2 linked regions of the Arabidopsis thaliana genome follow. The protein of the gene in region 1 interacts with the protein of each later gene in a pairwise test. Each region holds a gene or a part of one and is shown on either strand. Other genes may lie near its edges.

Region 1 (4,476 bases):
ACAGAGAAAAAAAGAAGAAGCAAACAATGATGACCCAAAAGCGAAATAGAATGTTACGGCTTTTAAACTCTGTGGCTGATGAAGCAAAGAGCAAAAGGTGAAGCGTAAAGGTGAGGTTAAGTAGGGCAAATCACATGGGAGGAACAAAAAAGGTAACAAAGTAATGTCTGCTAGTTGTTTTTTTACACCGTTTCTCGTTTGATAAAGCGGATATGAAATAATTTCATAAAGGGATATTTCGTACCTTTTCAATTATCCCCACATCAACTTCTCTGTCTATTGTCTACAGATATAAAGGGAGATATGAATAAGCATATATGGTTGGCTTCGTTTTTACTATGACTGAGGATGGTGAGAATTTATAGCCAATCAATTTTCTAAAAAGCAAATCATGTTATGGATTTTAAATATTCAATATAGGAATGATTCAAGTGTAAACATGGGACCTTATTGATAACAAACATAAGCAACCAAAGATAAAATACATACGTATTTTCAAATATACCACATAATCCATGAAATTCGATTTAGAGATCCCGATTTAGAGATCCATACATCTGCATGGTTTATAGGTTTCATGTACAACTAAAGCAAAATAAGCTGAAAGATGATTTTGGAGTAAAGAGCGTTTACTCTCCATAGTAGTAAATGTTGAATGTCTCTTTTGGTGTTCCAGTTTTCCAAACTTTAGCTAAATCTTAAATGATCATATTAACTTTCTAGTGGCATCCCAAAATGGCTGGCACGGGCCTGCGAGTAGATTAGTTGATAGTAATAGGAATTCTATCCAATAATTGATAAATCTCCAGATGACAATCAAACTTGAATATATAAACTATCAGAGATAGGTTCAATAAGAAAAAAAAAGTTGTGTGTAAGGACCCTGATGAGACAAGAGAGTGATCATAAGAAAGAGTTTTAAGTTATAACTGTTGAAAACTTCCATATCTCGATGCTTTGAATATTGATGTACTGTATATGACAAGATATCCTATCATTAATGAAATTCTTTCAGGTAAAGTGAAAAGTGAATTTCAATTCATGAAAAAGGAGAAATGGCTAATGTTAAGTAAAAATTATGAGGTTCATTAACCATAAAGGGTTGCACCAAATGGTGACCAAACCGCATAGTGTGATACGGTTCAAATAGTAACGAAAATATCTATATATATGTGTATATGTATATATTTTCGTTTAGAACCGTACCACACTTTATCCGCAGTTGAACCGCAAGTCACCATTAGCAAAAATATAGTTGCGTATTACTTAAAACCATTTTGTCAAAATACATTAAAGGTTTTTGGTTGCCCGAAACATGTATATTTTTATTTTAACCGAGGCCAAGAGTGATTTCTACGATGGCTTGATAGATCTATAAAATATACCAAAAGAAACCGAATCCTAATTACCATTGATTTCGAAATAAACAAGAACTGGTTTCCTAATTACCATTGAATTTTATTTTGGATTTATATATAGAGAAGATCTTCTTCAACAAAGACATTACACATATGCGGTGTATCTCGCAATAACTATAGAGAATCCTCTAAAATTGATAGATAATTGATATACAAGATGCCACTTTGAATTAATTACACAGAGATCTCTTCATCCACTTTTTGTAGAAAAAATCGGTGGCATAAACAAAACACTCAAAAAAAATCACAACCATAAAAGAAAACATTTGATTTCTTCCTCTTATCCTCAAATTCTCATAAAGTGTACAGTACACAATTCAACATTAAAAGTCGGAAGTATTTTTATCTAAAATTAGTACTACATATTGTAGTTTTTTTTAAGAAGCTAATCAAACATGTTTTAGATTGTTAGATCACACAAATAATTGTGTAGACTCATGACGACTATGACTTGACCAGTGATACAGCAAAGTAGGTTCCAAAGAGTCAGAAATCTCCTTTAATATTTTTTTTGAGGAACAAAGAAAAATATTCATTATTAAGAATTGAATTATGGGAAACACTTAAATGGTGAGAAAGAAAAATACTGAAGTCTCTCAAAGTTCCTAAAGCTTTTGGCAATATGATAATGGCGTGATACCTTTTTCTCTCCTCTCAACAAACGCGCCTCTAATCTCTCAATCTTCTCCAACTCCAATTTCTTGCAATTCACTCCAACTTCTTCTTCATCTTCTTCTTCTCTCTCTCTCTGAGATTCTAGATTTCGTTTCTCACGTTTTCTTCACCAAATATGGGAACCTGCTTCTCCAGCTCAACTAAATCCACGGCTGAGATCTCTCCCTTTGACCTCGTCGTCAAACCTCCTCCTCCTTCCGCCGCCGCCACCGCACCACCAACCCAACGAATCCCCACCGCGAAAACAGAAACATCGACGGTGAGCTTCACCGCAACAGTGAGATTATACGGACCACCTAACAGTCTAGTGACGTCGTATCTCCGTTTCGCTCTTCTCCACAAGAAAGTTCCGCTCCGTTTCGTTCCATCGGAAGACCAAAAACCGACGATTCAAGTCGGATCGGAGACTGTATCAGGTTCTCGAGAGGTTCTTCTCCGTTACATCGAGGATAAGTTCCCAGAGCCGCGTTTGATGATTTGGAAGTTTAATCTGGAAGGCTTCGACGAAGCGACTCCATTGATAGTGAAGATGATTTGGCTTCAGCATAGGAGTATGTTGTGGCATATGGAGAGGATGTTGAGATGGTCGGAGGATCTGGCGGCGCGTGGAGGTAAAAAAGCGGTGGATCCGTCTGTGGGAACACCGAAGATGGAGATTAGGAAATTTGCAAAGAGTTATACTCATTTACAGGAGCTTATGCTCGAACATGCTCAAATGGAAGAGAGAATCTTGTTCCCTGTTCTTGAATCTGTTGATCGAGGTAATTAAAGAGAATTGTTTAGGTTTAGGGAATGAATTTGATTATTGTTGTCAAATGTTGAAATTTTGATTTCTGTGAATTTGTGTGTAGGGATGTGTAAAAGTGCAAATGAAGAACATGGGAGAGAATTACCAATGATGAATGGTATCAAAGAAGATATCAAATCTATTGGAGTTTTGGATTCTGGGATTTGTTCAGAAGCTCTCTTTAGTCTTGCTTCTCGTTTCAAATCATTGCAGGTAAAGTTAAAATAACAATAACAAAAAGCTTCACTTTTGTCTGTTTTTGTAATGATTGAGGTTTTTGTTTTTGAACATAGATGATGTGTAAAACACATTTTGAAGAGGAAGAGAAAGATTTATTGCCAATGGTGGAAGCTGCAGAAATGGGGAAAGAGAAGCAGAAGAAATTGATGAATCAAAGCTTAGAAGTTATGAGTGGGACTCATTCTAACTCGTTTGATTTCCTACTAGAAGGTCTCACTCCACAAGAAGCTATGCAGTATATTGACTTGCTCATGACATTTGGTGATCCAAATCTTATCTCATCTTTTCTCTGCTCTGATGTTGTTGACTGATTTTATCCTTTTTAGGCTCACTTTGTGAAAAACTGTTGTTGTGTGTGGGGTTGTGAATTTTGTGTATATAGAGTCAGATTTGTCGATTCAGGTGTTGCTATGTTTTCTCATTCTGTTAAATTAAAAACAAAACAAAAATAGGTTATGTAACTCGTAAGAGGACGAGAGATGTTTCTAGGATGGTTATCCAAGTTTTCAGCAAGTTTTAATTCGATTATTATTTGATAATGGTGACTAATCTTCTAAGCGTGTGAAAACAATTGCCAATCATGGTTAGACCACAGGAGTAGAAGACTTGAAACAGATTTGTTCAAGAATTTTGATGGGCTTAATTTGTGTCGATTTAGAGAGGTTTGTCGATTACTCAAGGGTAATGCTTTTTCTTTTTACCTGTTTTATGCTTTTGGACTTGAACACCGACAAAACAAGGTAACAGAAAAAGTAGAAGAAGACTTGAAACAGAAACTAACTAAAAAAAGCTGAAACAGAAGAGGAAAAGCTGGTTAAAAGCGTATTTACACGATTCAGAATCCACTACAAAAACTACTTCGGCGGTCACAAACATTAGACCGGTCGTATTGCCAAAACTAACGACTCCGATGTCATCAACTTCTCTTTTCTCGTTTTCTCCTCTTATAATTTTAAAATCATTTCTTCTTTTAGGAATCTAAAAGATAGACGACAAAACAAAATGGAGACAAAAAAAAAGAGTGGATGTAACCTTTTTATGTGTTTGGAACGTCAAAATTGTTGGTTTCTCCTGAATCGAGCTGAATTAAATATGTACACAAATTCTTGGCTTCTTGGCTATGCTATTACCCGTTGAGCTTAGTTAAGAACTGGCTAAGATTGTACTCTTCTGTGTACTGTGATTGATCCCACAGTTCTTCTAAGTTTCCTAGAATTGCCTTCATTCCTTTTCCAGTTCCAGCAATCTGATCATTATCCTCTGATCCCTTCTTCGAAGACCCACCACCCTACAATAAAGACCGATTATTGAGGATTATCAATCTTCTTCTTTCGTTAGAGAATTGCTATTAAATAA
Region 2 (5,080 bases), on another chromosome or scaffold:
GAGACTGTTGTATTTGATATGATCTATAGGACCAACAAAGACAGTATCATCATCATCATCGAAAGCTTTTATGATTTGCAACATACCATACGTACAATCGAAAAAAGAGACTATTCTAACACTTTAATCGCTTTTACTACACTACGTTAAACAGACTGGAGGCTTCATTGATTGACACTGATGTAACATAAGTTAGTTCATAAGAGGATAACTTACCAGCCCATCCAAGTGCAGAGCAAGAGCCACCTACACAAACCAATACAATGTTGTAAGAACCAATTACTTGAAAACTATAGAATGTGTTTTAGCTTTTTTAGTACTACGTACCGCTGCAATATCTTCAAGCTCTCCTCTGGACAGATCAGGAGCAATCTTCACAAGAAGAGGAGGAGGACCTTCATCACCCCATTGCATCTCATCCCGAGCAGCTTGAACCTTCTTTACAAGGTCCTTCAACTGTTTCCTTCCTTGAAGCATGCGCAGTCCTGCAGTATTGGGTGATGAAACATTGATCACCTGAAGAGAAAAATGAAAATTAGGAACAAAGAATTCTACGGTGGATTAGATCAAATTCATGTTCGATATATCATGGTAAGAAGTTTGTACCAAGTAATCAGCATACTGGGATAAGTTATGAACTCCTTGGACATAGTCAGCAGCAGCATCCTCACTCGTCTTGTTCTTTCCAAGGTTGACCCCAAGAATACCAGGTCCAGATTTTCCCCCTGGTTTTACATCATCACTTGGAGATGACGAAGTAGCTGATGTTTCAGCCAACATTCTTTTACCATGTTGAGCACCCAACCGCTTTGCAACGACAACAATCCCTTCGCTATTAAATCCACACCTATTGATAATAGCTCTGGGAGGACCAAAATATAAGTCTTTTAGTTTAAACTATCTTGCTTCTTCAATCATTGAAGGTCTTTTATAGATTAGAGATTCTCACCCTTCTTGGCTTAGTCTGAAGATACGTGGTTTCGGATTGCCTTCTTGTGGAACAGGAGTTACAGAGCCTACCTCAACAAAGCCAAATCCCATCCCTAGCAGTCCCTCAGTAGCCTCAGCGTTTTTGTCAAATCCAGCAGCAAGCCCAATTGGGTTTGAGAATTTCCTTCCCCAAACTTCAAGTCCCAAGATTGCTGGATCAGGCCTCTTTTCTCTAGGTACCCACCCGCGAGCTGCAGCTGAAACAGCCAGCTTATGCGCAAACTCAGCATCCAGAAGAGCAAAGAAAGGATTCACAACCTTTGTTGCGTTGAATAGCCACCCACTGTCCAACACACAAAATAGGTAAGAGGTAAAAAACAAAGTGACTTCCTCAAAGTAACTACAAGGTAGCCTTAGCAATGTCAACTAACAAAGAGAACAAAAAGACTAAGTTTCAGGGCACTTATTAAGTAAAGTACCAGAAGGTTGCTTCATCTGCAGTACTAACATAAGCTCCTCCAGCTATGGCCAGACCAATGGTAGCTCCTGTCAATATCCTTCCCTATAAATTTTCAAAGTCAAACACTTTGCTCTTGTAAAATGAAATAGCATCAATGATCTAACTCTACTACACCAATTAATGTGCCATATTCAGATCAAAACAAGAGTTGCAACTCCTTATCTTAAGGAATAAGATTCCAATATGATTCGAATAAACCAAAAATGAGATTAATTTATCAATAAATTCATCAAAGCTACTCACTCTCTTGGAAAAATGAGGGACTTTCGGTGCAGAAGAAGCTCCAGGAACCGAAGAACAGTTACGGGTAGCTCCAAGAGGATTAGACGAAACCCTTCTGAACAAAAACTCTCTCGCCCATTTCGCCGACGACGTCGCAGCCCTTCCGGCCATTAGGTAAGATGATTAAATCGACAGTGGAATCAAACAGAGTTCGAAAATGGTTGCTTTGAAATCTATAAGAAGAGGGTTTTAGCCTTCTAGCTCACGGCTTGAATCTTGATAGAGAGAAAAATATACGCTTTTTGTTTGTTGTTCGGTTACAAAGGATCGTCAGAGTATTTGCTAAAACCCTTGCTTCCTTCAGGTTGATCTTTCCGGTTCGATTTACCGGTTTAATGTAGTTAACCGGGGTAAAATCTTATATGTTAACCGGTTTGAAAAGAGATTGATAAGGAAGGCCCTTTCTCTGAAAAAGCGAGACCAAGAGTGCGAAGTAGCTCTCTGTCTTTCGAAGCAGAAGTGAGACTTTGACGACAACAGTGGGAGGAACTATGAGTTCTTGTGTTGTGACGACAAGCTGTTTCTATACAATTTCAGATTCTAGTATACGTTTGAAATCCCCCAAGCTCCTCAATCTGGTTCGTTTCTTTGTGTGACATGGAAATTGCTGTGGTTCTGTTTCACATGAATCTATCTCTTTTAAGCACTAAAGCTTTCAAATTTCGTTTCCTTATAGAGTAACCAGCAGAGAAGACGCTCTCTTAGGTCTCGAGGTGGTTTAAAGGTTGAAGCTTACTACGGTCTAAAGACACCTCCTTATCCACTTGTAAGTGCAAATAAGACTTTGGTATTTGTATTTGGATTCTAAGTGTAGTAACTATGTCTTGCTTCTGTAATCCAATTCTGTTCTCGACTAAGCACGGAACTGTAGAAAGTTTGTTAATTTGGGTGAATTGTCTTGTGAGTATAGGAAAGATTGTGTCTTGATCTGTGTATCTTCTATCTTGCAAAGTAGATGTGTCTTGATCTTTAGGGCCTTGGTGATATGTCAAAGAAGATGGTATAGTTGAGATTCTAATTAGAGTTAAAAACAAATGTGAATAGGATGCTTTGGAGCCGTATATGAGTAGAAGAACACTAGAAGTGCATTGGGGAAAACACCATCGAGGTTATGTAGATAATCTGAATAAACAGTTAGGGAAAGATGATAGACTCTATGGATACACCATGGAAGAGCTTATCAAGGCTACATACAACAACGGGAATCCTTTACCCGAGTTCAACAACGCTGCACAGGTACTTTATATTCTAAGTAACTTGTACATTATCACCCGAGGCACACACTAATGTTGGAAGGATTGATGATGATTATGTTGTTGTTTAGGTCTATAACCATGATTTCTTCTGGGAGTCGATGCAACCTGGTGGTGGAGACACGCCTCAAAAGGGTGTTCTTGAGCAGATTGATAAGGATTTTGGTTCTTTCACAAATTTTAGAGAAAAGTTCACTAATGCAGCTCTTACTCAGTTTGGTTCTGGATGGGTCTGGCTTGTCTGTGAGAAACTTGACTAGCTTTTCACTTGGTATTAAACTGTAGAATGACTTTGAAAATGGAAAATTTTGATTCTCTTTTTGTTTTTTTCTGGAAAATTTCAGTAAAGAGGGAAGAGAGAAGGCTTGAGGTGGTCAAAACCTCAAACGCCATTAACCCACTCGTGTGGGACGATATTGTATGTTAGAGTTTTATTAGTTAGTTTTCTTGTTGAACTTAATGTTACCTCTTGATCACATCTCTTTTGTTGTTACAGCCAATCATCTGCGTGGATGTGTGGGAGGTACACCATCTCCTCTCTTCTGTCATTCTTCCAAGAAACACTTTGAAACATTTTCTAATATCTTTCGTTTTCTTATCTTACTTTGCAGCACTCTTATTATCTGGACTACAAGGTAAAAACCTAGCTTAAATTCCGACCATTCTGTGTTCTTTTTGTTCGTTCAAAAGGCTAAATCAGTGTTTGTTTCTTTCTTTCTCCGGTTGCTAGAACGACAGGGCTAAGTATATAAACACATTTCTGAACCACTTGGTGTCGTGGAACGCTGCCATGAGTCGGATGGCCCGTGCAGAAGCGTTTGTGAATCTTGGTGAACCCAACATCCCAATCGCTTAAGCTAAACACAACTCCTTGGAAACTTGGGCAGTCTCATTTTTGCAAACAGAGGTCTCAAGTCCCAAGTCCCAACCAACAAAACAAGAGTTGCTTTCTGAATGTGACCCATCTTTTTGTTCTGTGTAATTTAGCGACAGTTTTCTCTTCTTTTGCCTTTTGAGAGACTCTCTAGCTTTAAGATCATCAGTGAGCCCTGTATGGTGACAGTAATGTTAGTGACGCAATTAACCCTTATTAAGTTATAATAAAACGAAGGCTGGCTCACGTGACCCGCACGTGACTGAGAGTATCCGTTTCCTCTTCTTTCTTTTCTTCTTCTTCTTCTTCTTCTTCGTCTCCTGACAATAGGGATTGACACCATCGTTCACTTCAACGTAAAGGTATAAACTTTCTTCCTCCTTAACGTCAAAGTTTCACGCGATCGTCTCTGTGGAACTCCCTCAGCATCGGGTAATTCCCTGATTTTCCCAACTCGCTCTCGCGGAAACTCTCGATTTCGATTGGGCTCTTGAGGTTCTGTTCATTTCCTCGTCTATGAATTTTCTACAATTGATTAGGAGTCGTGCCCATAACTGCGTGAGTAAAAAGGGAAAATTTTCTTAAAGATAAGCAATTTCAAGCTTTGTGTTCGTGAAATTTATCCTTGTATGAAACTTGCAATGCGATTGTTGTGTTGGTTGGTGGGTTTTCTGTAAAATCTCAATGTTCATGTAGGACCTGGGTTTTGGCAGATTCAGTGCCATAAAGACTGTAGTGTTAGTCCTCATATTACATTTGTATGGTTGCTAAATGGTCAAACTGATACTAGTATAACTCAGAGATTACAAGATTTATTTGGATCAAGATCATATGTTTCCTTGATGCCAAAACTAATTCATTGTTAAGATTCATAAAATCGAGTATATAGCGAGTTAACGTTTACTTGAATTTCCTCGTTCTTTATCCTTTGTAGGAGGTTATGCAGTTCTTGGATCCCCTGAGATTTGTTGTCAAAAACCAGCTTCCATTACTGATACACTATGCCTCCGTCTCATTCTCAGGTCTGTTGTAGTTCTTGAAACAAATTATCATAAGCTTTGATCAAACAGGAAAGAAAACCTCTTATAATCTTTCTTGATTGATAAAAATGACAGAGATCTTCAGTGACACCAGCATCAGACAGTTATCTCAAATGCTACTATCACTAATCTTCTTCCACATATCCGAATACATTCTAGCCATCACCATTCACGGAGCATC

Evidence for each region. The genes of interacting proteins can lie anywhere in the genome.
Region 2: the proteins of AT3G54290 (region 1) and FSD3 interact in a two-hybrid assay, tested with the Arabidopsis thaliana proteins (one large-scale study listed by BioGRID).

The regions. Positions count from the first base shown.
Region 1 is NC_003074.8:20,103,578-20,108,053, reverse strand, and holds AT3G54290 (hemerythrin HHE cation-binding domain protein), read left to right. Parts: upstream 1-1,838; 5' UTR 1,839-2,208; coding exon 2,209-2,854; intron 2,855-2,944; coding exon 2,945-3,093; intron 3,094-3,173; coding exon 3,174-3,431; 3' UTR 3,432-3,702; downstream 3,703-4,476. Other genes in the region: RGD3 (ROOT GROWTH DEFECTIVE 3), read right to left, coding at 3,901-4,063, 4,251-4,408.
Region 2 is NC_003076.8:7,848,401-7,853,480, forward strand, and holds FSD3 (Fe superoxide dismutase 3), read left to right. Parts: upstream 1-2,043; 5' UTR 2,044-2,223; coding exon 2,224-2,310; intron 2,311-2,408; coding exon 2,409-2,498; intron 2,499-2,776; coding exon 2,777-2,968; intron 2,969-3,056; coding exon 3,057-3,228; intron 3,229-3,329; coding exon 3,330-3,403; intron 3,404-3,481; coding exon 3,482-3,508; intron 3,509-3,596; coding exon 3,597-3,620; intron 3,621-3,715; coding exon 3,716-3,841; 3' UTR 3,842-4,134; downstream 4,135-5,080. Other genes in the region: PYRD (pyrimidine d), read right to left, coding at 1-23, 217-246, 328-516, 607-862, 950-1,273, 1,410-1,492, 1,694-1,843; STE14A (S-isoprenylcysteine O-methyltransferase), read left to right, coding at 4,800-4,881, 4,975-5,080. UniProt on the Arabidopsis thaliana protein: Destroys superoxide anion radicals which are normally produced within the cells and which are toxic to biological systems. Plays important role in chloroplast development, particularly in the maintenance of thylakoids membranes.